Arabidopsis thaliana: one gene and its partners. The protein of the gene in region 1 interacts with the protein of each later gene in a pairwise test. Each region holds a gene or a part of one and is shown in the gene's direction. Other genes may lie near its edges.

Region 1 (6,137 bases):
GTTTATTTTTTAAATGTTTAATTTTATTAAAAATACTATTGATAATTCTTTGTTATTTTAATTCAGTCTTTTCACTTATAAGTAAGTGTTTAATTCAGTCTTTTCACTTATGTTTTATTCTGTGTCTATGAGTTTCGTAGGTTCAACATATAACATAAATAATTTTGGTGAATTTGAATTTACAAATAGTTGATTAGTGTGTGTTTCTTATTTGCGATAAGTAAATGAAAAACACATATGTATATAGTCGGCTTATACGAAAAAAAAATACTTTCTACAACGTCATGGACCGCCTTAAGCACCACCTTTGTTTATTAATTTACATTGTCCTAACTCCTAAGCACCTGAATCAATGTCTAATTAATGAAGACTTGAAGAGGTCGCTTTCCAAGGACCAACTCTTATGTTCATGAATCTTTTTCATATCATTTCTTGAGAAGAGTTATATTTGATTAGGTTCATTGCATAGTCTCTCGCGATTCTTGTCATACATAAGAAGACTGAAACTTTCAGGGAGTTTCGAACATACAAATAAGAAGATTTTTTAAAGTTTCATGAGTATATAGCCAAAAGAGATGTTGGCAGACAAATGGGTAATTAAGCGAAAGTGAAGAAGAGTCAAGTTTGCCTCGAGACGAAGAAGTCACATGAAACAACAAACAAGTGGGATGATGGCTCGAAACGAGAGAACGGCGCCGTTTGCGGGACTAACGGTGCGAGCGGTAAGTGAGGCCCACTTCCTACTAGCTAACGTCCAACTCTTGTCCTTATATTCTTCGACATTTATCCGTACGGTCTCTTTTTTTTCTTATACTTGGTTCAAAATTAATCAAACTCTTACTTCCTAAGCCATTAATCCATATCGATAGCTACATCTCCCAATAACGTGAGCTAATATGTTTTAAGGCTTCGATGAAAATGTACGGTTCAACTGCAGATAAAATCTGGTGTGGTTTAAATAGTAATAAAAAAAATATATATATATATATATTAAAAAAAAGTTGTTACTACTTAAAACGCACGGTAATGTGCGGTTGAGTCATTATTCAAAACCTAAGTATACATTATTACGATTATCGTAATTTACCGCTATTAAAAAAACTTTCTCTATGATTTTGTCATAATCATAATATTACATGGACCAAGGGCACATCATTACTTATTTTGTTTTATTTTCGTGTCATGAAGAAGGCTCATCATTACCTTTAATCATATGCTATTTATTCTCACGAAGAAACTTTGAAAACCTAGTTTCTATTACTACCACTTTTATTGGACTCTCAAATGATTGGGTAGCTAACTTGTTTTCAAAAATGGGGTTTGATGTTTTATTTGATGTCTTTTTTAACATGATTTTAGGCCAAAACCTCAATTTGTCTATGTAATAACATCAAGATAACAAACTAAAACGAAGTGGTTTTTTTTTTATTATAAACTTGTCAGCCAAATTTATCCAATCGGCTAAGATAAGTAACTAAAAGTTTATATAGTCACTAGTCAGAGATACTAACCAAATTTAGGAAAAGCAATATCCACATTTTAAAATTTAAACATAAGGGACACGTGTGGATATCGGTGACTCAAGATTTTACATGAATTATTTTAGTAGAGTCGTGTGTACCCCGTGAAGGTGATGAATTACAAAGATTTCAGCTTTTGCCGCTATCAACATAGTTATAAATTGTAATATTATTTTTTGCTGTGTAAATTATTTTCTTAGTTCTTGCTTAGCATGAATAAGTATATCATCCAATGTATACAGAAGATGAGCTTTCTTACACAATACTATATAGTAAGATAAAGTTTCCAGAAGTGATAACTAAAACTTGTAACTCAACCATTAATACTCAACAAAACGCGAACTCTAAAGTTTAAATGAATTCTTACTTAGCAATATTTTTAAGCTAACTATGAATATAACATCCATACCTCAAATTAAATCAATCATAACATATATGTTACTAATCACATCCATATATTGCTTAGGCCTTAGGGTATAAGGCAAATACTTCATTCTTATAAAGCAAATTACTTTCCAGTAAAAATGAGACAAATAAATAAATGTGTATCACTATTAAGTATCATTTGTTTGTAGTAACACCGAATAATAGCGTTTATTTTCTTTTAAAAAATATCTCTCTAAATCTAGAATTAATAAAATATTATTTTACTTTCTTAGTTGTTTTGATTAAAAAAAATGAAGTGATTAGATATAAGTATATAACATCACGAATTTTTTTTTGCGGATTGTATTTTCTTGATAATTTTGATTCGGAAGTTATAATTGTGGCTTAATGAGTTTACCATTTCTTTTTTTTTTTTTTTTTTTTTTTTTTTTGAGTTTACCATTTCACTTCACATATATTACTGTGTTCTGTAATTTTGGCCAAATCAACACTTTAATATTTTGTTTGTAGAAAAACGTATCTTGAAAAAAGCCAAACACGGTCCACGTTAAAAGAACCAATATATTAAAGGCCTTTGTTTCTTCTCTGGTTTAACACTCACGTGAAAATATGCAGTGAAAAAGAGAGTTTTTCTATAAAGAGTGTTAAAAAGGACAAAAATATACTTTAATAAAATAAATTTTAATTAATATTCATGTCAAAAACAAGAGAAATTTAATCAATACTCCAAAAAAACGTTAAAAAGACACACAAGTCGAATGGAGTTAGTTTTTTTTTGACGTAACATCCTATGTTGTCGTCTCTGCCACGTCAGAAACCTGCTGTAGAAAAAGACCAGAGACTGCTAAAAAGGTAAAAAAGTAAAAAAAAAACCTGCACACCGCAACGGTCTAATTTGTTTTTACTTAGTTAGCAAATGACCAAAACACCCCTGTCGTTGAACGAAAAAGAGCGATTCTTCGTAGAAAGGTTTTAAGAATTTAATTAGATTTATTAACCACCCTTGATTACTGCTATTTATTTAAATTCTTAAGGTCAAAGGTTAGACTAAAACCGCATCCTCCAAGGTCATTAAATACAAATTTTGTTTCCCTTAATGACAAAAAAAAGGATTGTAAAACGCCGCAACCGCCGTTTCAATATCCTATAAAAGTCTCTGTTCTATTCAGAGTCACTCTCTTCACTTACATGTTTTGCTCTGCTTCTCTCTTTATCTTCTTCTTCATCTTTTGTCACTCTTTTCTTCTGCTCTAAACTTTTTCTTTTCGCTGCAAAAAAAAATTCCCAGGAATATTTCTTAAAAGAAATTTCATCCCTAAATAAGAAAAAAGCATCTCCTTCTTTAGTGTCCTCCTTCACCAAACTCTTGATTCCATAAGCATATATTAAAAAAGCTCTCTGCTTTCTTCAACTTTCCCGGGAAAATCTTCTTGTTACAAAGCATCAATCTCTTGTTTTACCAATTTTCTCTCTTTATTCCTTTTTTGCCCTTTACTTTTCCTAACTTTGGTCTTTATATATAAACACACGACACAAAGAAGAACACACATAAGTTAAAACTATTACAACAGTTTTAAAGAGAGAGATTTAAAAAATGGAGACAGAGAAGAAAGTTTCTCTCCCAAGAATCTTACGAATCTCTGTTACTGATCCTTACGCAACAGATTCGTCAAGCGACGAAGAAGAAGAAGTTGATTTTGATGCATTATCTACAAAACGACGTCGTGTTAAGAAGTACGTGAAGGAAGTGGTGCTTGATTCGGTGGTTTCTGATAAAGAGAAGCCGATGAAGAAGAAGAGAAAGAAGCGCGTTGTTACTGTTCCAGTGGTTGTTACGACGGCGACGAGGAAGTTTCGTGGAGTGAGGCAAAGACCGTGGGGAAAATGGGCGGCGGAGATTAGAGATCCGAGTAGACGTGTTAGGGTTTGGTTAGGTACTTTTGACACGGCGGAGGAAGCTGCCATTGTTTACGATAACGCAGCTATTCAGCTACGTGGTCCTAACGCAGAGCTTAACTTCCCTCCTCCTCCGGTGACGGAGAATGTTGAAGAAGCTTCGACGGAGGTGAAAGGAGTTTCGGATTTTATCATTGGCGGTGGAGAATGTCTTCGTTCGCCGGTTTCTGTTCTCGAATCTCCGTTCTCCGGCGAGTCTACTGCGGTTAAAGAGGAGTTTGTCGGTGTATCGACGGCGGAGATTGTGGTTAAAAAGGAGCCGTCTTTTAACGGTTCAGATTTCTCGGCGCCGTTGTTCTCGGACGACGACGTTTTTGGTTTCTCGACGTCGATGAGTGAAAGTTTCGGCGGCGATTTATTTGGAGATAATCTTTTTGCGGATATGAGTTTTGGATCCGGGTTTGGATTCGGGTCTGGGTCTGGATTCTCCAGCTGGCACGTTGAGGACCATTTTCAAGATATTGGGGATTTATTCGGGTCGGATCCTGTCTTAACTGTTTAAGAAATAACTGGCCGTTTAACGGCGTTTAGTGAAGTTTTGTTACCGGCGACGGCGAGGATTAAAAAAAAACGGCGATTTATTTTTTGAATGAAGATTTGTTAAATATATTAAACTTTTTTGTAACTTAATTAATGGTGATTTTATTTTTAAATAAAACTAATGGTAAATGGTGAACTTTTTGGCGTTAGCCGTTAAGTAACGTCTGTATATGAACGGCGTGGAGGCAAAACACGCACGAGTTTCTTCACGCTTTACTACTTTTCTTTCTTCTTTTGGTCTTTTGACGTATCACGTGTTGTCTCACGTGACGAGGAATCACCGAATTTGTGAAAAGCTTTGGTTAATCTTTCTTTTTATTGGGTTTATTTGACAAATAGCAATATTAGCAAACCATAATTGTTCTACTTTTGGAGCAAATGTTTTAGAATTACACGTGGGGGAGAATCGAATCCTGGCAAGTGTCTATGCAAAAAAATGAATTTGATTCATACCAACTCATATTATTTTGAACTTTAAGAAAGCTACATGTGTGGAAAAACTTCTATAATACAGTAGTACTTTAACTTTTGTTCTTTTTTAACTCTATAGTAACTTTTTCTATTTCCGTTTTAAGTCTCTATACCTGTGACATGTCTTATAATGGGCAGCTTTTTTATTGACAATTTCTATTTTCATAGAGCATACATTCCTATATACGAACAAATTAAAATCAAGTCGGTCTAGTCGAGGAATAACCATTATTAGAAATGTGATCTAACTAATCCAAAAGCTAGCTCAAAAGTCAAAGATTGCTATATCTTTTATATTATGTCTAAGATTTTAATCTGAAGCGATGTAGGATATTCTAATACGCGTTTTTGAAATATAGATGGGAAACGGTCCAACGAAAAACAGTCCAAGTCCAACATCTCGGAAATACAACAAGACATACTACTTGTATGGACTATATAAGTGGAAAACCATTTTTGTCGGAATTTGTCTGTTGGGCCAATCATAGGCTCTGATACTATATTAGGAATGTGATATAACTTAACCAAAACACTACTTAAAGAATTAATGATTGTTACATTCTTTATGTAATGCCCAAAATTTTTAATCCCAAACAATGTGAGACATTGTAATAACTACCGCAATAGTCTAATAAATTACTAATGATGAGGTAAAAATCATAAATGTTCAAATGGTAAACAAGATATGCGTAGTGTATACGTAGAGGACGACTAGTATAACAATAGGTCTCATGAAATGTTGCAGTGCTCATTAAATACACGAGATAGATAGATAGAATCTTATATTTATCCTCACTCACAAATTTATTGAATGTTTTCACTCTTCACGTACACTTCTCGTGTCATTCCTATGCACTTCACTTGTTATTTATTTTTTTCTTACCTAGCTAGTATTAGAAACCTTGAAACATTAATCAACTTATTGTCCGAAGACTGAAGATTTCATCGTAACATTGTGACTTATCATATAGAGATATTGGACCAAAGTTAAAGGGATTTCGATCATTGTCAGTGTTAATTTCAAAAAGGGAGAAAAGGTTCTAGTTGAAGTTGAGCGTCTTTTTCAAGTGTGATTTGAGAGCTGCAAAACCCACACAAATGGTAAGGCCCATAAGAGAGCACGACATTCATTTTTATGGGATTGTGTTGACATGTTGGATTGTTGGTGGCAGTGATGTGGACCAGCTAGGACCGTTTAGTCTGGTTTTTAGTTTTACAAGTGACAAGTCCAAAGTATAAAATTTAATCTACTCACGTACGTTT
Region 2 (5,764 bases), on another chromosome or scaffold:
TGTTTGTAAGTGATTTTTTAAAAAATCACAGAACCAAATAAATCATAGGGGATATTCCAGTGAATCGGGATGATGTCGTCTAAAGTTTAGTGGGTTCGGAAAGCATCGATCTATTCTACGAACAAGTGAACCCTGCCCGAAAAGCTTTAGGTCAATTACTATGTCTTGAAAGAAAAATAAACATCAATACAATCTCATGTTTCGAAGCTTGAAAAAGGTAGCATTTTTCTCATAAAACCTTGGACACTTCCACGAAACAAAATGCATTTATCTTGAGTTCTCTAGCTACTAATGATAATGCAAATAAATACTGAAGCTAAACAAAATGTAAACAAATTCTAAGCACAATATTGACCATTTATCAAATCTACCAACTTAAAAGTTAGTAAATATCAACATCAAAAATATTTGAGGTAAATTTCTTAAAATACTTTATTTAGTAATGGATAAAAAACAAAAAAAGTTTAAATCACCGTGGAAGTTGTTGAGAAGTTACTTCTAAGATTTCTTACAACTGTGCTTGGCATTTATTATTTCTTACACAGTTAAAACTCAAGTAGAATAATTATACTAATGTCGGTCTTTAGCAAGGGGATAAAAGAGGCATGTCCAAGATGTTCATGTATTATAATTTCGGTTTTCGTTGAATTGTTGAAATTGTGAACAGTTTCATAAAACCAAGTAAGAGTATTCAAATAACTTTTTGTTAATCAACTGTATAAATAGGGAGCAAATTTAAAAGGATAATATGGCAAAAATGTCGTATTTGAACATAAAATTAAAAAGATGTAGGAACACTGTAGAGTATTCCAAATATTGCATGTTATAAACTTTATTTTTAGACATCTTCATTTGCAAACACGTTACAAGTTGAATAGTCTATCATGAACACTGTAGAGTATTCAAAGTACTGTAAATGAAAAAATGTAATTTATATATAGTCTAATGTATTTAAAAATTTAAACCATAGAGAGGAATATACTGTACTTTTGTAAATTTGGTCCCCTAACTAAAGATCTAGTAGTAGAAGATGGAAATCCACAGTTAATATATGCGTGATTCAACGGTGCCCTCTTTAATTCCTCACATGAGTTTTGCACACAATCTTTCTCTCTCTTTTTCTTATTCTATGTTCCCATATTTATCCCACAAACGTTGATCCAATATCTTACGCAAATTAAGGCAAAACAGGAAATTTTTGCAAAAGAGAAAGATATGGAGGTGTTGGGTAAATAAAGTTGAAAATGTACGAAAATAATGATGCATTTATTTCACAACAATGGGTTTCAACATCAGATTGCTTCTGTTTAAATCTTTTACTACTTTCAGTTTTATATCTCTGATAAACTCTATAATATTGACTGATTCCTAAAGGACACTGTCTCAGGATCTATCCCCTACATTCTTGTTCTACCTTGATGGATCATATATTTTACCTTAGTAAAGAAAATCGTCCAAGAAATTCATCATTAATTAAAAACATACATATAACATAGTCCTTCTTCGAATATAAGACTTCAATTCCTCAAAAAAAATTAAACGAAATAAATTATTTTTAAATATATATTCAAGAAACTGATGTTCATCGAGTTTAATTATTCAGTTGAATTACAATTCTTACTTTTAGAAATTTGTATTGCGACCAAGAAGAAACATTCTTTAAGCTCAAAGCTTCATATAATTTACACATACGTAATTTATAGATAACACGTTGACCGAGAGTATTAGAAGCTCACAGTGCTTATAGGAAAGTCAAAACTGACTGCATCAGTACGATTTTTACGTGTTCGTTTATGGATTATATAATACAAAATAGCTTATACATCAGTTTTAAAAAAATTAAACAAATTAATTAAGATGTAAAACACTATTAAAGTCGTAAAGAGAGAGTAATTAAAAATGAGAAGAAGATTTGACAAGACGAGCCAATAGACAAGAATGTAGTACCGTCAATCAACCTTTATAAAGTAGTAGTAGTATATAAAATTACTAAATGTTTATTGGGATTTGTTTTTCTGCAACATTTTCTTGTAAGCAATCGTTTTTAATGCTTTGTGTTCTGCACAGTGCTTTGTCATTGGCTCGGGACTAACATTTTTTCTAGTATTATTTTATTTTATTTTAATTAAAATATTTAATTTTTCTTGTCTTCAACCAAATTGAATGCTACTGCTGTGTCTTACTATACTTGTTCATGAGTATAATATTATCATCTTAAATTTAGATAACAAAGACAAAATAAAAATTCAAATTCCCATAGAGCCATTATATCGTGTTTGCATGAAACTTTTGTTAGTTAAAAAATACAAATTCAACCTCTCCAACAAGGCAATAACAACCCATGGAGCTAATAATATGTAAACTGCATGAGGATAAGTGTTTTCGTCACACAAGAAGATTGTCAATTTTTCAAAACAGCAAAATATTTGTAAAAAACATAATTCTTCCACTCATGTGTATATCAATAAAATCACAACGACAAAAACATTATTGTAAAATGTAGCAATAAACTATTTGTAAAAATAATATATCTCCATTATAAAAACATTTTTGTAAAATTGATCAATTATTAGATCGAATAGTGTAGAAAAAACCAATATTAAAAATTTGGATTGTAGCAAATCAAATATTGGAAAAAACTATTGAAATCCCGGTTGAACAGAAAACGAATCGAAAAAGCTAACCACAAAGCAAAACAAAAACAAACTATCAACTTCAATCATCGTAATTTTTATAGTTAAGACTTTAGACTAAATAAGTAAAAGCACTTCAAATAACTAACCAGAAAAAAATGGAAAATTAACAACAAATAGAAAAATATCCCAAAATTAAATAGACACATGACCTGACCCCACCAGCTCTCTCTTCTCTCCCCATATATCGCATTCCCTCCAACTCCTTCCTCTTCCATTAATTACTAAACCCAAACCCAACCAAAGATCTTCACAAAGAAAAAAACAATTGGTGGTATCAATGGGGAAGAAGAAGATGAAACTCTCTTCTCTGTTCAAAGGCGGAGCCGGAGGATTACTAGCGGTTCCTCTCTGTTACAATGCCAAAACTCTTTCGTTCCGAGTCGGCGACGACATGATCAAGACGGTGAACTCTGTTTTCTTCGACCACCACCACAACAACAACAATGGAGGAGATTTGTTGGAAGCGGAGACGCCTGAGTCATGGTTTACTAACTCGTCCGAGACAGCGAGTCACTCAACCGAGTCGGATCAAGACCTTGACGCTGAGTCCTTAGAGATGGTGGTTCGTGGCGTTGTTAGATCGGAGCGGTTATTCTTCGATCCAGGAGTTACGAGTTCGATTCTGGAAGAGATTGAAGAGAAATCGAAATCGGATTTGAAATCGAAGGAAACGGTTGCGGTGGGAGAAGATCGGAGTACGCCGATTGAGGAGATTAGTGTCGCGGTGGCGATGGAATCCGAGGATCCGTACGGTGATTTCCGGCGATCGATGGAGGAGATGGTGACGAGTCACGGTGAGTTGGCTAAAGATTGGGAGAGCTTGGAATCGATGCTCGCTTGGTATTTGAGGATGAATGGGAGGAAGAGTCACGGCGTTATCGTCAGTGCTTTTGTTGATCTTCTCTCTGGACTCTCTGATTCCGGCGCCGGAATAACGTCGGCTTCGGTATCGGATTCGGCTCGTTATTCAACCGCCGTTTCGTCTTTGCCGTCGTCGCCGGTTTATTCGTTATCTCAAGGTCAGACGGAGATTCAAGAGGAAGAGAGACGGAGCTGTTAAAAATAAAAAAAGGCTTAAGATTCGGTTTTAAATTTTTTAATCTCCGGTTTTGTTTAGATTAATTAACCCTTTTTGGATTTTGTAAAAAGTAATTAGTGGTTAGAGGAAAAAGAACCATTAAATATATATCAAAAATATTTTTAGAGCCATTATTGTTGATTTATGTGTATAACAGTGCCTTTTGTCATAACTCGAAAGTTACACTATTTTTCCCCCAAAATTCATGAAACTCAGCGAAGTTTATGCCAACAGATTCAGAGAAATTTTGTATAACAGCCCCATTTTAAAAGGAAATATACATAAGAATAAATTCTGTGATACTTCTTTTTATTTAAGCTCTTTATTTTTTACTTCTTTTTTAGGTTTTAAAGGACATAGAATTATAATTTCTCATTTTTTTTGCAGGCATATTATATAGCCTTTCTCATTAGATGTAGGCATGTAGCTCCTTTGGCATCCATATTAAAAATTTTTTTGTCACAAATATTGGACCTTACATTTTTTTTCCCCAAATAAAATTTGGTATTACGAATTTTCGATGGTTACACAAGGACTACTACACTAACATAAACTGTAAGACTCATTAAATATCATGCTCGGATAATTCATGTATTAACATTAATAACATAGAGATTTTATTTATTGATTTGACTCTTAAAAGCATCATCACGTAAGATATTTAGCAAAACCCTTTTTGTGATATCCATGCTGGAGTTAAAATCTTGAAAATAAGCGTAATAGAAACACCCGTAGTGTATGTATAAATGTAATTGTCATGAACTTATGAGATTCAAGTTTTAAAAATACAGAAAAGGATAGTGTATTTACGAGGGTGCATTAAAAGAGAATGTTGGTCTATAGTAACGTTTGAATTGAAATGTTACAAAAGAGATTTGTAATTTGTATTTTGTATTGTGAAGTGAATGGAGTAACATGAGATGAGCAATGGTGCTGTGGTCAGTGGTCACACACACACAGGCCCTGTGAATCCCAACATCATAGACCTACTCACTTCTCTCTTATCTCTTTTCATTTATTACTCTACATTTAATTTTGGGACCAACCTAGACGACGACGTTTATTTGTTTTTGTTTTGTTTGTTTTGTTTTGTTTCCTTTCTTTTCATAATTTTAGAGCTATGCATGTTCTCATTCCTCCTCAATTTCACAAAATTGATTTTTCTATAGGAAACACATATAACATAGGGCTGGTCCTCAAATATATACGAGATAGTATACAATTTGGAGTTTTTCAAGAGTACAGAAAAACTATAGCCAAATATTTGTAACAAATAAAAACACAGAACTGTGTCTGTCACAAACATAGCGTCTAACAGTTACTTTTACACAGCTTGTTTTCTTTGTTTCTACGGTACTTACAAAAACCAGAGTCATTTTTCGTCTTCTACAAGTATATAACAGGGGCCCAAACACAGTACATGCACAAAATCTAATATCTAAATACATTACGTCAAGCACGAGACCAAAAGTAAATGGATACTTTAGATTTGACAGTGAAGGCCCATTTGAGGGAGGTTCTTCGATCCGGCCCCACGTCGGTTTATTTTGATTTAGGATAATTCAAACCCAAAAGCTAACCAAAATCAGTATGGTTCAAGTTTGTTCAACTACAAGAATTTTCCATTCAAATTCAGTTATTGACTGTATCGTACCAGACTAAAAACCAACAGACGATTAACATACTGTATTACATATTTTTAAACTAAATTCGAAACCAAATCGATTAAAGGAGTTTCTTAAATTCAAGTAGTGTTTTGAAGAAACTGAACACTATAACATGATGTGTGTTTTGTATTTTCCATTTGTTCATTGGGAGTCAGGATCTTTACCAAAACCCATCATGGCATGAGTCGCTAGCATCAAGCCTCTTCGACCCATCTCCATTACCCGTCCGACTAATGGAAAGCTAACCGTGTCTCTGTTCCTCAGAGGTTTCTTGTCCCACCTTATACACACCATTCACCAACAAGTTAAGGCAATGAACTAAT
Region 3 (5,716 bases), on another chromosome or scaffold:
TATGTGCCTGGATTTTGATCATACTCGCGGATGTATTTGTATATGTGTCTTACAAAAAGAAACATAGTCCTACCAAAACAGGACAAACTTTTCCAAGCAAGTCTTGGATCTCCTCGCTTACTTCGATCTGGTCTCGAGACAATGTCTCTCGCATATCAGGACAACTTTACTCAGACCATGCCTCGATATTTAATAATATAGAAGTCGTTACCTATATAAAGAGAATCCTCGTAGTCCAATTTGATGTTTAACTTTATTCGTAGTCTCTGATTTGTTCGATGACTAAACGATTTTATTAACACTTTGGTTTTCAAATATCTCCTCTTTGGTAGTTGGTACCGGTTGATGATGTGGAAGCGAGTCATATTTTCTTGTTTTAGTGGAACTAATTTTTTCCCAGTTGATTATACCTTAGAGTCAAACTTGATTATTATCGCACTGGACGCATATAGACAAATCAATACTGTTCTATGTGATAAGTCATAAAATTAAAGTTTGACAAAAATATTGTATCAATTTGTGTATATATTACTGTCACATATAAGCATGTTAACAATGAGCTGAAAATAATGTTGTTATGAGAAAAACAGTATATTTATATACGATAATAATATTAGTCTTGAAAAATAACTAGTAATATCTTTGGTATTTTGGTCATCGTATCTTGAGATTGTAAGCAAACTTTGTAAACAAATCAGTACGTGACTATATGATGAAGCATTATTTATTACGAAACCAACAAACGGAGAACACTTTTATATATATTTTAGCGTTGTTATGACTATAGTGTTTTTTCTCCTCTTGTAGCTATCGTGACTATATCATCAATAGTCCGTTTCTATTATTCAGGAACTGTTCGTTTATGTTTAAAATCAAATTATTGACTTCTAAAAAATAACTGAATACATGAAAGACTTTGGTGGTTGTGGTTCGTTTTTTTAAATTGGATTTAGGATTTTCTTTTCATAAATCTTAGGTACGGAGCAAATGGATGACTGTCTCTTGATTTGTTTATTTTATTATTCAAAATGTATGCAAAGATCTTGATAACTTGAAACATAAGACATTAAAATCTAGGTGGAAAAAAACATTTGAAAGCAAGTTTGTTCCATATATAAATTGCAATGAAAATAAGAAAATGTGAAACATATTGATGGTTTTTTCCTTTTCCTTTCAGTAATGTTCTTATCACCAATGTTTTGTTTGGCACGATCATCAAATGTTTAGACATGTGGATCAACATTGTAATAATTTTCTCTTCAAATGACTGACTCTTTTTTTTTTTTTCAAAATAATGTTTTTCGTAAGTGTTAGGTGTGAAGACCATCATGTTTTTGCTAGATTCTTGTAGATCTCAACATTGATATTTGTAGATATCTATCAAATCGTTACAAAAAGTTTGCTAGATTCTAAATTAATGCTAAGAAACCAGTTTTCTTTACAAAATGTTTTTGTCAATGTCCTCTCACAATCGGCTAAAAGATGTTACAAACTATAAAGGATCCTCCTCCACAACTTTTGAAGATTTTACTCTCTCCAGATTTTGTCCAAAAAGGACTCACAAAATCACACAATGATGGTCAACTAAAAAAAATCACTAAACAACTTAAATGAAATGATGACAAAACTATTCCCTTTTGTTGCAAAATAAAAAAAAAAACCTTTTAAATCTGCAAAGAGATCCTTATATGATATGGCTGTTGTCCTGGTATTATTTCTCCAATTTAATTTAGGAATTTCATGTTTGACACTTATTTAGGGATCGTATAATATACGTTTTTTAATTGATTTGAAACCAAATAACATGTACTATTGCCTTAGTCCTCTTGCAATTCGTTTAGAAGATGTTATGATTGAGACAAAAGGATCCACCCGCAATACTTTGTCCATATTTTTCTCTCAAGATTTTGTCCAAAAGCAAAAGAGACTCACAAATCACACACAATGGTCCACTAAACAGAGTGCCTTTATTGCATACAAAATTCAATCAATTTAATAAAGGAAACTCAACTGAAAACGATGACAATAAAAAATAAAAAATGTCCCTTTTGTCTTTAAATAAAATAATAACCCTTACTGACGTAAAGAAAATTAAATTAAGATAACCTTGTAAAATACTTCTTACCCAAATTAAAAAAGAAAAAAAAAAAGACAACAAGAGGATTAAATTGTATTAGTATCACCATCATACCATTACACATAAATAAAATTTAGTAGAGTATAAACGAATCACGTGTATAGGAAAATACAAAATACAATGTTGAAGTTAAAATGAATATAGAAGTAGATTAATTGAGCAATAACCACCGGTTTTAGATCATTGATTGATATGTAAGTAAAATGCAAAGTAGTAGCCGACTTGGCAAAGAAAAAGAAAAAAGAAGAGAGAGAGAGGTAAAACTAAAATAAAATTACTAAAAGCAGAAGGAAAGTTCCAGGTCACGAGGGAGTAGTCGCTGTCGGATTGAAAGAAACAGACCAAACAAAGATCTTTGAAATCTTAAAAAAGATTCGGTGCCCAAAGATTTTGACCTTTGAAGACACATTTGATTATTTGTGTTTTCTGACACTTCCCAAACACATAACATCAACACTTGACCCATTTTTAAGATTTTGTTTCCTCTTCAAAGATCTTACCCCGCAAGATCCGATCTTCCAAATCTCTCTCTATCTACTATACTAGTACTTATTAAACCCCACCACCTCTCCCTTCTTATTTATGTCACCTAACCTAACTTCTTCTTCTTTCATTTTATCACATTCATTTCCTTTGTCTTCAATCCAAAGCTTTCCTCTTCTTGGAACCAATCTGCTCTCTTTTTTATTCTGAGTTTGACAATGGCGGTTGGTGAGGTCATGAGGATGGAGATTCCCGCCGGTGGAGATTTGACTGTTACTACTCCGGAGTTGCATGTTCTTGCCGTCGATGATAGTATTGTGGATCGTAAAGTCATCGAGAGGTTGCTTAGAATCTCTTCTTGTAAAGGTAAAAACTCAAAACCAATCTTTTTCTGCTCTGTTTTTGTTGGTTTTAACTCTCCTCTGTTTTTCTTCTTCATTAACAAACTCTCCTCTGTTTTTTAGTTACAAGTGTCTTTTTTTTTTTGTTATTTCAGTGACGACTGTAGAGAGTGGAACTAGGGCTTTGCAGTATCTTGGCTTAGATGGAGGCAAAGGGGCTTCTAATCTTAAGGTAATTAAGAATAAATCTTCCCTCTTTTGCTATCTACTGAGAAGAACTCTTGTATATTTAGGAAAGACCGAAGGAGTGAAACCTTTGCAACTTTGGCTTTGGCTATTGCTTCTTCTTGTCTTTATGATCAAATGAGATTTAGAAATGAACTAGTCTAGTTAGTGATTTATGTGTTTTGGTATTAAGATTTGATTTTGTTTGTGATTTTCATCATAACAGGATTTGAAGGTGAATTTGATAGTGACGGATTACTCAATGCCAGGACTTTCAGGATATGATCTCCTTAAAAAGATTAAGGTAATAACAATAATAATGGATTTACCAATCTGAGAAAGACTTAAACAAAGCTTTTTTAATGCTGCTTATACAAAACTCCATTGATATGTGCAGGAATCTTCAGCATTCAGAGAAGTACCAGTAGTGATTATGTCATCTGAGAACATCTTACCTCGTATACAAGAGTAAGTACTGATTGTGTAATGTGTAGTGATACAGATGGGATCATATTTGTGTCTACACTGTGATCTAAACTTATCGACTTCTTCTTCTTGTTTTTAGATGTCTCAAAGAAGGAGCAGAGGAATTCTTGTTGAAACCGGTGAAGCTAGCAGATGTAAAGCGAATCAAACAACTTATAATGAGGAATGAAGCTGAGGAATGCAAAATCTTAAGCCATTCTAACAAGAGAAAGCTTCAAGAAGACAGTGATACATCATCATCAAGTCATGATGATACTTCTATCAAGGACTCTTCATGTTCAAAACGAATGAAATCAGAATCTGAAAACCTTTTTTCTCTACTTTGAATTATATGTATAGAGGCCAAGACCTTAGCAAAACCATTCTGTTAATATTCCTCAAGAAAGACAATGTTTGAGAGAGTCATCACACTACTCATGATGTTGCTTAAACAAAACAAAACAAAAAAGAGAAAAGAATCAAATGTTAGGTTCACACTGACTTACACCTCATGTAAATTCTTCAATGCTTGCAACTCAAGCTTAGGATGCTCTTCTCCCGGAAGTATTGGTCTATCATCAATCACGCAGGAATCGTTTTTCAGGTAAGTGAGTCTGCAAACCGCCCAAACAGGATCCGAAGACAATTGGAATTCTTCTACTTTCCACCCGGTCATTGAGTGGACACGCCCCACATCGAGATTGAAAGAATATCTTGTTTTAGTTCCCAGAACATTTTTCTCTATGTCATTATCTATGATTTGTGTAACAACACCATTGACCCTCCATGTTTTCTTCTTGCCCCTGAGGTAGAACATCAAATTCAGCTTTTCACGACGAGACGAACACTTTCTCACAAAGTAGTACCATTCACTGTCCTTGTAAAAAGGAGATCTAACATGTTCAAGAAGCCATGGCTCCATGGCATATAGCTCTCTCTCTCTCTTATGAAGCAGCTGAAGTCTGGTGAATGGGCCTTTGGAGTGAGGTACAAAGAGAGTAGCTCTTGATCAGTCGGATGAAATCGGAATCCGTAAGTAAAGACACTTGGTGGGACGTTCTGACCAGAACTCAGAGCATCATGTATCTGCTTCAACACATCCCATTTCAAGCGTGGATGTTCAAACCCGTTCAATCTAGGCTTATCTAAGTACTCATTCCCGAGGGGGTTTTTCTTAACAAAGTAATACCATTCATAGTGATTGTAACACGGATCTCTCACATGCCCAAGTACCCACGGATCCTTGTCGTACAAGTCTATGGTTTTGATAAAGCAGCTGAACTCCGGCGATTGTGTCTTCCGCATAAGGTAGTCTGTCACTTCTTCATCAGCTGGGCGAAATCGAAACCCGCGTGTTAACACCTCTGACATTTTTGCTTCTGATCCAAGAAACGAGAAACCAAATTCATCAAACTCGATCTCTAAAAACAAACAGTGATCTATTATTCTAAAAGAAAACCCAGTAAAAGAATTGGAATCATGGTAATGAATATGATTTCTTCTAGCAGTAGAAACGGTGTGAAAGTGTAACAGAGACGAATATATGCTGAAGAAGAAGAAACTTGATTATGAGAGAACGAGAACTTACATGAATCAATGATCGAAGATTTCTTCTAGCAGATTAACAGAGAGACCCAACGACGTGAAAACTTAACAGATATGAATGTTCGAAGAAGTTTCTGCAAGAACCCCAATAACGAATTGGAATCTTGGTGATGAATGCTTGAAGCAGAAACTTGGATAACAAAGAACGAGAACTTACCTGAATCAATGATCGACGATTTCTTCTAGTAGAGAACAGAGACCCAACAGATATAGAAATTCTGAAAGAAACGCGACAAAGAGTTGGATAACAGAGAGATCGACAATTTCTTCCACGAGAGAACAGACTTCAAACAAACCGTGATAATCTAACAGAGATGAACGCTCGAAGATGATAAGAAAATTGCAATCTTGGTGACGAATTTTGAATGCAGGAAGAAGAAACTCGAATATTTGATAATTAATATCAATGTTCAGTGGTTTCTTCAAGCGTTCCTCTAAAGCGATCTTGGACTCACTCTGT
Region 4 (7,464 bases), on another chromosome or scaffold:
GATATTGTGATTTTGAAAAACAATACTTTGCCTTGAAAAACTATACTTAACCGCATATTGAAACACCTGTTGCAAGAGAACGTTGTTCGAAATTCTCCATTTTCTGTTCTTGCACTTGCACATGTGGAGTTTTCTTAACTTTGATTTGCAAGAGAAAACTTAAAGTTCAAGATTTCTTTTTTTTTTTTCTTTCTTTTAGAAAAACTTTTAAGTGAAAAGAAATCGATGGCAAAAGAAAAAAAAGGTCAAAGAAACGAATATCGTCGTTGATTTTAATTTTACCATACGAATTTTAATTTAATTATCACATATATTAAATAATTTTAAGAACCGATTTTAATCTGCAACTGTACGAAAGAAAGAGTTTTGATGCACGCTCAAGCGTGTAACGCACTTCCCAATCTCAAGCATGCTTGCTCTCTCTAAAGCCTGTCTCATTTTTAAAATCCAAAATATTGTTTTGTCAACTAATTTAAAACAGTTTTTTTTTTAGAAAGCTATTTAAAACTGTTTCACAAGATACACTTTTCGAATATTCATAGTAGTTTTTGAAACCATACTCCAATCAATCTGATTACTTGTAATTAAAGTATGGTCTTGTAATATTAATTTCCAAAGGTGTGATTTTATAAAATTCAAATTTAAGGCGATAACAAAACTTTTGAGCTTACTTTATCCATTGAGAGGCAAGTTTTCCTACGCAACAACAGTTGACACGGAAGTATTAGAACACAAAAATAGTAAATTCAAAGGATTCTTCTATCAAAATATAAGCTTCCAACTCAAAACTAATTGGTAATGAGTGAAGAACGTTATATCTTATAAATATTACTTAAGATTATACTAACTTCTAATATGTGACAATATCTCTAATACGATCCTTCTAAATGATGGCTTTTCTATCCATTAGTCTTGATATGTTTGGGCATAGATTAGTGGACCGATGTGGATTGGGTTGACTATATGCAGATCGGACACTGATACCATATTAGATTATGGGCTTCCAACTCAAAATCAATCGGGAATGAGTAAAGAGACTTATATCTTATATATAACTGCTTAAGTTCCTACTAAACTTTCAACGTGGGACGATATCTCTAATATCGATCAATTCAATAATTTCAACCATGCCGAAAGCTAAGACGATTATGAGAAAAAAATTGTTTTCTTATACGCCGAGCTGGAAAAATGATCCACGACAGTCTATCATTTCTATGCCAAATTATAGTGAAAAATAAAGTCAAGATGTAATTAAGAGACATAGTGTTTATATTTTTGGAAAAAGATCAAAAGGATGCTAAAATTTGAATACCAGATACCGTTACGATTTGGATATCAGTGGAGTCCGAGTGCAATTGTCAGTTTACTATCTTTTGTACCATATATTTTAGAGCGTTTTTCTTAACGTTATCATATATTTCGATAGCGTTTTTCTAAGAATAATGATATAGTCGATTTTAAGAGTATGTACAAAAAACATAGGCTACTTTATGGTTTCTACAATTGATTTGCTAAGTCAATTTTATCATTTGCTTGTACATCAGTGCATGAAAGGAGAAAAGGGAAAAACAGTAAACAGATATGTATTATCTACATGAATGGACATATCTTAGACCTCGTGAAGTACCTTAAAAACTTATAGGAGAAAGAGGGTTACTACTTACTACCTCATCTAGACCTCGATTACGCGATCAAAGCAATACTGGATATCAGATAGATGTGGTCTTATCTATCAAAATTGTTTAGTCCGTTTTCGAGTTTGGGACAAATCTCCTTAGAAACCAGCTAGAATGGCTTAATCTATATATAAGATAATAATAAGTTTAACACCAAGACTTGCCGAAGTTAAGTTACATGTAATGCTACGAGATTCTCTGATACATATGTTATAAAGTGAAGTTAAAACACTTTTCTCAAGAAACACACTTACATAAAAATTAGTCACGAAGGTAAACAAGTGCTAAAAAAAATGAAGGGTCTTCTCCAACAAGAAAGACCGTTTTAACACTACTACTTGGGGTTCGTAAATTAATACAAAATCCTGGAATAAAACCATTTATCATCTTATATCCAACCAAACAAATTAATATAAACACTGTTAAAAAATAAGAAATGAAATTTAAATTAATGATAGAAATAATCGAATTAGGTGTTTTGATTTTTTTTTCTGTGACTACAATATATTTAAAACCCAAAATTTTACAAAAATCGTTTTAGTAAATCGGTTTAAATCTGAAACAAATGCTAAGGAAAGTATTTAACAGTGATTGACATTATGGAAATAATTTAATTTTTTTTGTCCGTTTAACAGTTGGACAATACTAGATTAACAAGAATCAAAATGTATCTCCACAATAATGATGCGATATAAATGATAGTATAAACCAAAATCTTTTTACTTAAACACTTTCCTATCTCTAACATAATTACTTTTTAATTTCCCCCATTCAAATAACACCTAAGTATTATTTTACCTGGTTTTTACTTTTTAACACAATTTAATTGCAAACAAGTAGTGTGTTTTATTAGTTTAAACTTTAAAGTCTTTAGACTAGAGAGAGGAAGTGGCAATAATACTAATCCGGTTCAGTCACTAAACCAGTGTACAATATATGGTTGGTCCTACAAATGATAATTTTTGATAAACCTAAAAAAAATGGTGTATTATATATCACCTGAGGATAGGGATACAAGTTTCTTTTAGGGTGGAAATCCTTATATATAAGTGTAGGGACTACTCACCAAAATCAAACAACTCACTTCAATTTGTAACGGTTTAAACTCGGTACAATATGCGGATTTTGATTCGGTATAATGACATTAAAACACCACTTTAACAAAAACCACTAGACAAATATTAGTCATTTCGGTTCAGTTTCGTTTAAAAATTACGAATTTTCGTATAATTGAGTTTATTATTCCGTTTGGTTTAAAAGAAACCATACAAAACAAAACAAACCAAACTAAACCAAATTGGTTATGTTTCAAAGATTCTTTCTAAGTCTCTCAATAAAATGTTATTTGTTTTGTAATGTAAAGAAAAAAAAAAGAATTGCAGAAAAAGAGTGGATAGTGTTAAGAAGATGATCACACACAATTTCCATAGCCATTTATAGATAGCTAGAAGAGCTAAAGAAGATTCCTTTTTTTAACTCTGCTGGAAAAATCTTTTTGTCTCTCTCTCTAAATCTAAATATTATATACTACTACTCTCTCTCTCTAGACCCCATTCACATATTTAATCTTTAACTCATTTCTCCATCGACGTTCTTGCACATCCCACTTTCTCTCTTTCTTCAACTTGCAAAAAAGATTAAAAATCCAATCTTTCGTTTCTGGGTCTGTTGAAAAACGATGACTGTTGAACAAAATTTAGAAGCTTTGGATCAGTTTCCTGTAGGAATGAGAGTTCTTGCTGTTGATGATGACCAAACTTGTCTCAAAATCCTTGAATCTCTCCTTCGTCACTGCCAATACCATGGTTCCTCTCTCTCTCTCTCTCTCTCTCTCTCTCTCTCTGTTTTCTTGGATCTGTTTTTCATCAAGTTTTTAGATTTTATGTCTCTTTGATCTGTGATTTGATCCACATATGGTGGAATCTTTTGATATCTATCTACCTAACTTCTTGTATACACAAATCTAAAAAAAACTTAGCTTTTTTTATTCCATTGTTAGATTTTGTAAGATTTGACATTTGTCAGAGAGAAAGTTTCATTGTTGAATTGAATTAAAAGTTTAAGACTTTATGGAATCTGTTGCAGTAACAACGACGAACCAAGCACAAAAGGCTTTAGAGTTATTGAGAGAGAACAAGAACAAGTTTGATCTGGTTATTAGTGATGTTGACATGCCTGACATGGATGGTTTCAAACTCCTTGAGCTTGTTGGTCTTGAAATGGACCTACCTGTCATAAGTAAGTCTTATTATTATTATTATTTTCTAATTAAACTTTTGTCATTTATTTCCTTAATGACTCACTACAGGAATAAAGTTTTGATCTCTAGACTTGGTTTTGTGATGATGATTTTCTTGTTGTTGCAGTGTTGTCTGCGCATAGTGATCCAAAGTATGTGATGAAGGGAGTTACTCATGGTGCTTGTGATTATCTACTGAAGCCGGTTCGTATTGAGGAGTTGAAGAACATATGGCAACATGTCGTGAGAAGTAGATTTGATAAGAACCGTGGGAGTAATAATAATGGTGATAAGAGAGATGGATCAGGTAATGAAGGTGTTGGGAATTCTGATCAGAACAATGGGAAAGGTAATAGAAAACGTAAAGATCAGTATAATGAAGATGAGGATGAGGATAGAGATGATAATGATGATTCGTGTGCTCAAAAGAAGCAACGTGTTGTTTGGACTGTTGAGCTGCATAAGAAATTTGTTGCAGCTGTTAACCAATTGGGATATGAGAGTAAGCTTATCAATATGTCACTTGATATGAGAGTAAGCTTATCAGTATGTCACTTAAGTTCTGTTTTGTGTGTGTTGTTTTGATTGCAGAGGCTATGCCTAAAAAGATTTTGGATCTGATGAATGTTGAGAAGCTCACTAGAGAAAATGTGGCCAGTCATCTTCAGGTTACAAAGAATCTTTCATGTTTTTAACTTGCGTAACCCGAAGATTTGTTTTTTAACACCTCGGAAGCTTATGACTTTGTTCGCTGTGGTTTGCAGAAATTCCGCCTTTACTTGAAGAGGATCAGTGGTGTGGCTAATCAGCAAGCTATTATGGCAAACTCTGAGTTACATTTTATGCAAATGAATGGACTTGATGGTTTCCATCACCGCCCAATCCCTGTTGGATCTGGTCAGTACCATGGTGGGGCTCCTGCAATGAGATCTTTCCCTCCAAACGGGATTCTTGGCAGACTCAATACTCCTTCGGGGATCGGTGTCCGCAGCCTTTCTTCTCCTCCTGCAGGAATGTTCTTGCAAAACCAGACCGATATCGGAAAGTTTCACCATGTCTCATCACTTCCTCTTAACCACAGTGATGGAGGAAACATACTTCAAGGGTTGCCAATGCCTTTAGAGTTCGACCAGCTTCAGACAAACAACAACAAAAGTAGAAACATGAACAGTAACAAGAGCATTGCTGGGACCTCCATGGCTTTTCCTAGCTTCTCTACGCAACAAAACTCGCTCATCAGTGCTCCTAATAACAATGTCGTGGTTCTAGAAGGTCACCCACAAGCAACTCCTCCAGGCTTCCCAGGACACCAGATCAATAAACGTTTGGAGCATTGGTCAAATGCTGTATCCTCTTCGACTCACCCTCCTCCCCCGGCACATAACAGTAATAGTATCAATCATCAGTTCGATGTCTCTCCATTACCGCATTCTAGACCCGACCCCTTGGAATGGAACAATGTGTCATCAAGCTACTCTATACCATTCTGTGACTCTGCCAATACATTGAGTTCTCCAGCCTTGGATACAACAAATCCCCGAGCTTTCTGTAGAAACACGGACTTCGATTCAAACACAAATGTGCAACCTGGAGTCTTTTATGGTCCATCCACGGATGCTATGGCTCTGTTGAGTAGTAGTAACCCGAAAGAAGGGTTCGTCGTAGGCCAACAGAAGTTACAGAGTGGTGGATTCATGGTTGCAGATGCTGGTTCCTTAGATGATATAGTCAACTCCACGATGAAGCAGGTGTGACATTAAAGCTTTTGCCAATATTAACCATTCTGATTTGGAGATTATTGTGATTTCTGACATGAAGATTTTGTGAATGTGACAGGAACAGAGCCAGGGAGATTTGTCTGGAGGAGATTTGGGATATGGAGGGTTTAGTTCACTCAGAACATGCATATGAGAGAACAAACATTTAGACATAAATCAAATATCATCATCTTGTTTGTCTCTTTTTCTCGCTAATCTTTTGTGTATTAAAATTGTAAACTATTTGTTTTCCCACTGGTTCTAGCAATTTAGGACTCCATTAAAGAAAACAACAAAGAAAAAAGGATTCATAAATAAACTTTCTTACTTTTTTATTTTAATGTATAGTTGTCCCTTTTGTGTATGAAACCAAAATTCACGGGCCTATGAAGAAACAACCCTATAGAAAAAGTCTATGAAGAAAAAGTGATGATGACGAATTTTAAAGCAACAAAGATTCCTTCGTACACTCGAAACCATTATGTTAAAGTCAACCCAAATTTGTATTATAACATTCTTGTGTTTGTATCTTACATTATTTAGTTCAGTTTTTGAGTTTGATTGAGAATAGTAGTTAGATTGAAACAGACGACGTCTAACCGGAAACATAACCGGACTTCATCGAACCTATTCACACACTGTTAAAAAGCTTGAGGTGCATAACCAAACAGCTTTGATTGAGAAACTATAATTTCATGATTTTCCAAAAATAGGAAAACATGAAGAATATCAAAGTTAGCCTAAAATGTTACCAATGTTTGCATAAGCAGAAGATAGGTCTTACAAAAGGAAGAATAAGTCTCATACATGTAACCAAAGATAATACAACAGTTCCTACTTCATGACCCCTTGGGTCTTGAATCTTGATTTACCAGTTGAGTCAATCAACGACCATGTTCTTTGGCTTCTCTTCTTCTTTGGCTTCTTCCATTTTTACATCAACACTTCCACTAGCTTCAGCAATGTTCTCCTCTCCCTCCACCACATTCAGATCGACGACGCCACCTCTTAACGGTTTTGTTTCTTCGGCCGTGTCCTTCATCTCAACATTGTTTAGGTCTGGCTTGGTGTCGTCTTCATGTGACTTGGATTGATCAGATGTAATCGAAAGGATTGTGTTAATGTTACCATTGATAGATTTGAGTGCACGGAAGCTCTCATTCACCTTGGTACTCGGTGGTTGGTTGTTTACATATGCTTGGACTGATTCCCGAGCGTTCTCATCAAGAAGTTTGCACATCTGAATAACCGGAGAGATATTAGTGTGATATACTAGTTCTAGACATTAGCCTACCACCAAAGGAAAAAAGCATAGCTTACCTGGTTATAATGTTGAGCTATTTCGACCCGCGCTTGGTTGTTGTCAACAGCAGCCCCCATAATTTCTTCTGAAGCTGCAGCGAGATTCAGAGAGCTCACATTAGAATCAACAACTCGTTAAATAAAGAAACTTGTGATGGAACTTACTGATAGGATCAGTCTTAGGAAGTCCATCAAGCATTTCATCATCAACCTCAATAAAGCTCACTCCCACTGTGTCAGCGATCTTTGGTTCAGCTTCTGGTTCTTCAGTAGGGATAGATGATGAGCCACCAAGTCCCTGCAACCAGAGATTCAATCAAAGTTAAACAATTCAGCGCAAAACATGTGAGTAAGTACCAACACTGCAGATGGTACAACATACATAATATTCCTCTGCGTATTCATAATTCATCGCCTTCTCCAAAAGCAGAACTCGCTTTTTCACAAACTCAACAAGTCGTCTCTGCATGTCCCGATAATAGAACATCGA

What was found.
Region 2: the proteins of CRF1 (region 1) and OFP13 interact in binary tests that used the Arabidopsis thaliana proteins (3 or more experiments, as listed by UniProt).
Region 3: the proteins of CRF1 (region 1) and ARR7 interact in a protein complementation assay, tested with the Arabidopsis thaliana proteins (one study listed by BioGRID).
Region 4: the proteins of CRF1 (region 1) and RR12 interact in a protein complementation assay, tested with the Arabidopsis thaliana proteins (one study listed by BioGRID).

The regions. Positions count from the first base shown.
Region 1 is NC_003075.7:6,793,158-6,799,294, reverse strand, and holds CRF1 (cytokinin response factor 1), read left to right. Parts: upstream 1-2,896; 5' UTR 2,897-3,501; coding exon 3,502-4,365; 3' UTR 4,366-4,665; downstream 4,666-6,137.
Region 2 is NC_003076.8:1,396,712-1,402,475, forward strand, and holds OFP13 (ovate family protein 13), read left to right. Parts: upstream 1-2,683; 5' UTR 2,684-2,973; coding exon 2,974-3,756; 3' UTR 3,757-4,073; downstream 4,074-5,764. Other genes in the region: AT5G04830 (Nuclear transport factor 2 (NTF2) family protein), read right to left, coding at 5,583-5,721. UniProt on the Arabidopsis thaliana protein: Transcriptional repressor that regulates multiple aspects of plant growth and development through the regulation of BEL1-LIKE (BLH) and KNOX TALE (KNAT) homeodomain transcription factors.
Region 3 is NC_003070.9:6,576,201-6,581,916, reverse strand, and holds ARR7 (response regulator 7), read left to right. Parts: upstream 1-2,602; 5' UTR 2,603-2,838; coding exon 2,839-2,986; intron 2,987-3,116; coding exon 3,117-3,193; intron 3,194-3,412; coding exon 3,413-3,490; intron 3,491-3,583; coding exon 3,584-3,654; intron 3,655-3,751; coding exon 3,752-3,998; 3' UTR 3,999-4,084; downstream 4,085-5,716. Other genes in the region: AT1G19040 (NAC (No Apical Meristem) domain transcriptional regulator superfamily protein), read right to left, coding at 4,504-5,022. UniProt on the Arabidopsis thaliana protein: Functions as a response regulator involved in His-to-Asp phosphorelay signal transduction system. Phosphorylation of the Asp residue in the receiver domain activates the ability of the protein to promote the transcription of target genes.
Region 4 is NC_003071.7:10,722,852-10,730,315, reverse strand, and holds RR12 (response regulator 12), read left to right. Parts: upstream 1-3,043; 5' UTR 3,044-3,354; coding exon 3,355-3,481; intron 3,482-3,761; coding exon 3,762-3,914; intron 3,915-4,042; coding exon 4,043-4,417; intron 4,418-4,506; coding exon 4,507-4,583; intron 4,584-4,679; coding exon 4,680-5,663; intron 5,664-5,751; coding exon 5,752-5,826; 3' UTR 5,827-6,015; downstream 6,016-7,464. Other genes in the region: PKL (chromatin remodeling factor CHD3 (PICKLE)), read right to left, coding at 6,553-6,912, 6,993-7,066, 7,140-7,272, 7,357-7,464. UniProt on the Arabidopsis thaliana protein: Transcriptional activator that binds specifically to the DNA sequence 5'-[AG]GATT-3'. Functions as a response regulator involved in His-to-Asp phosphorelay signal transduction system.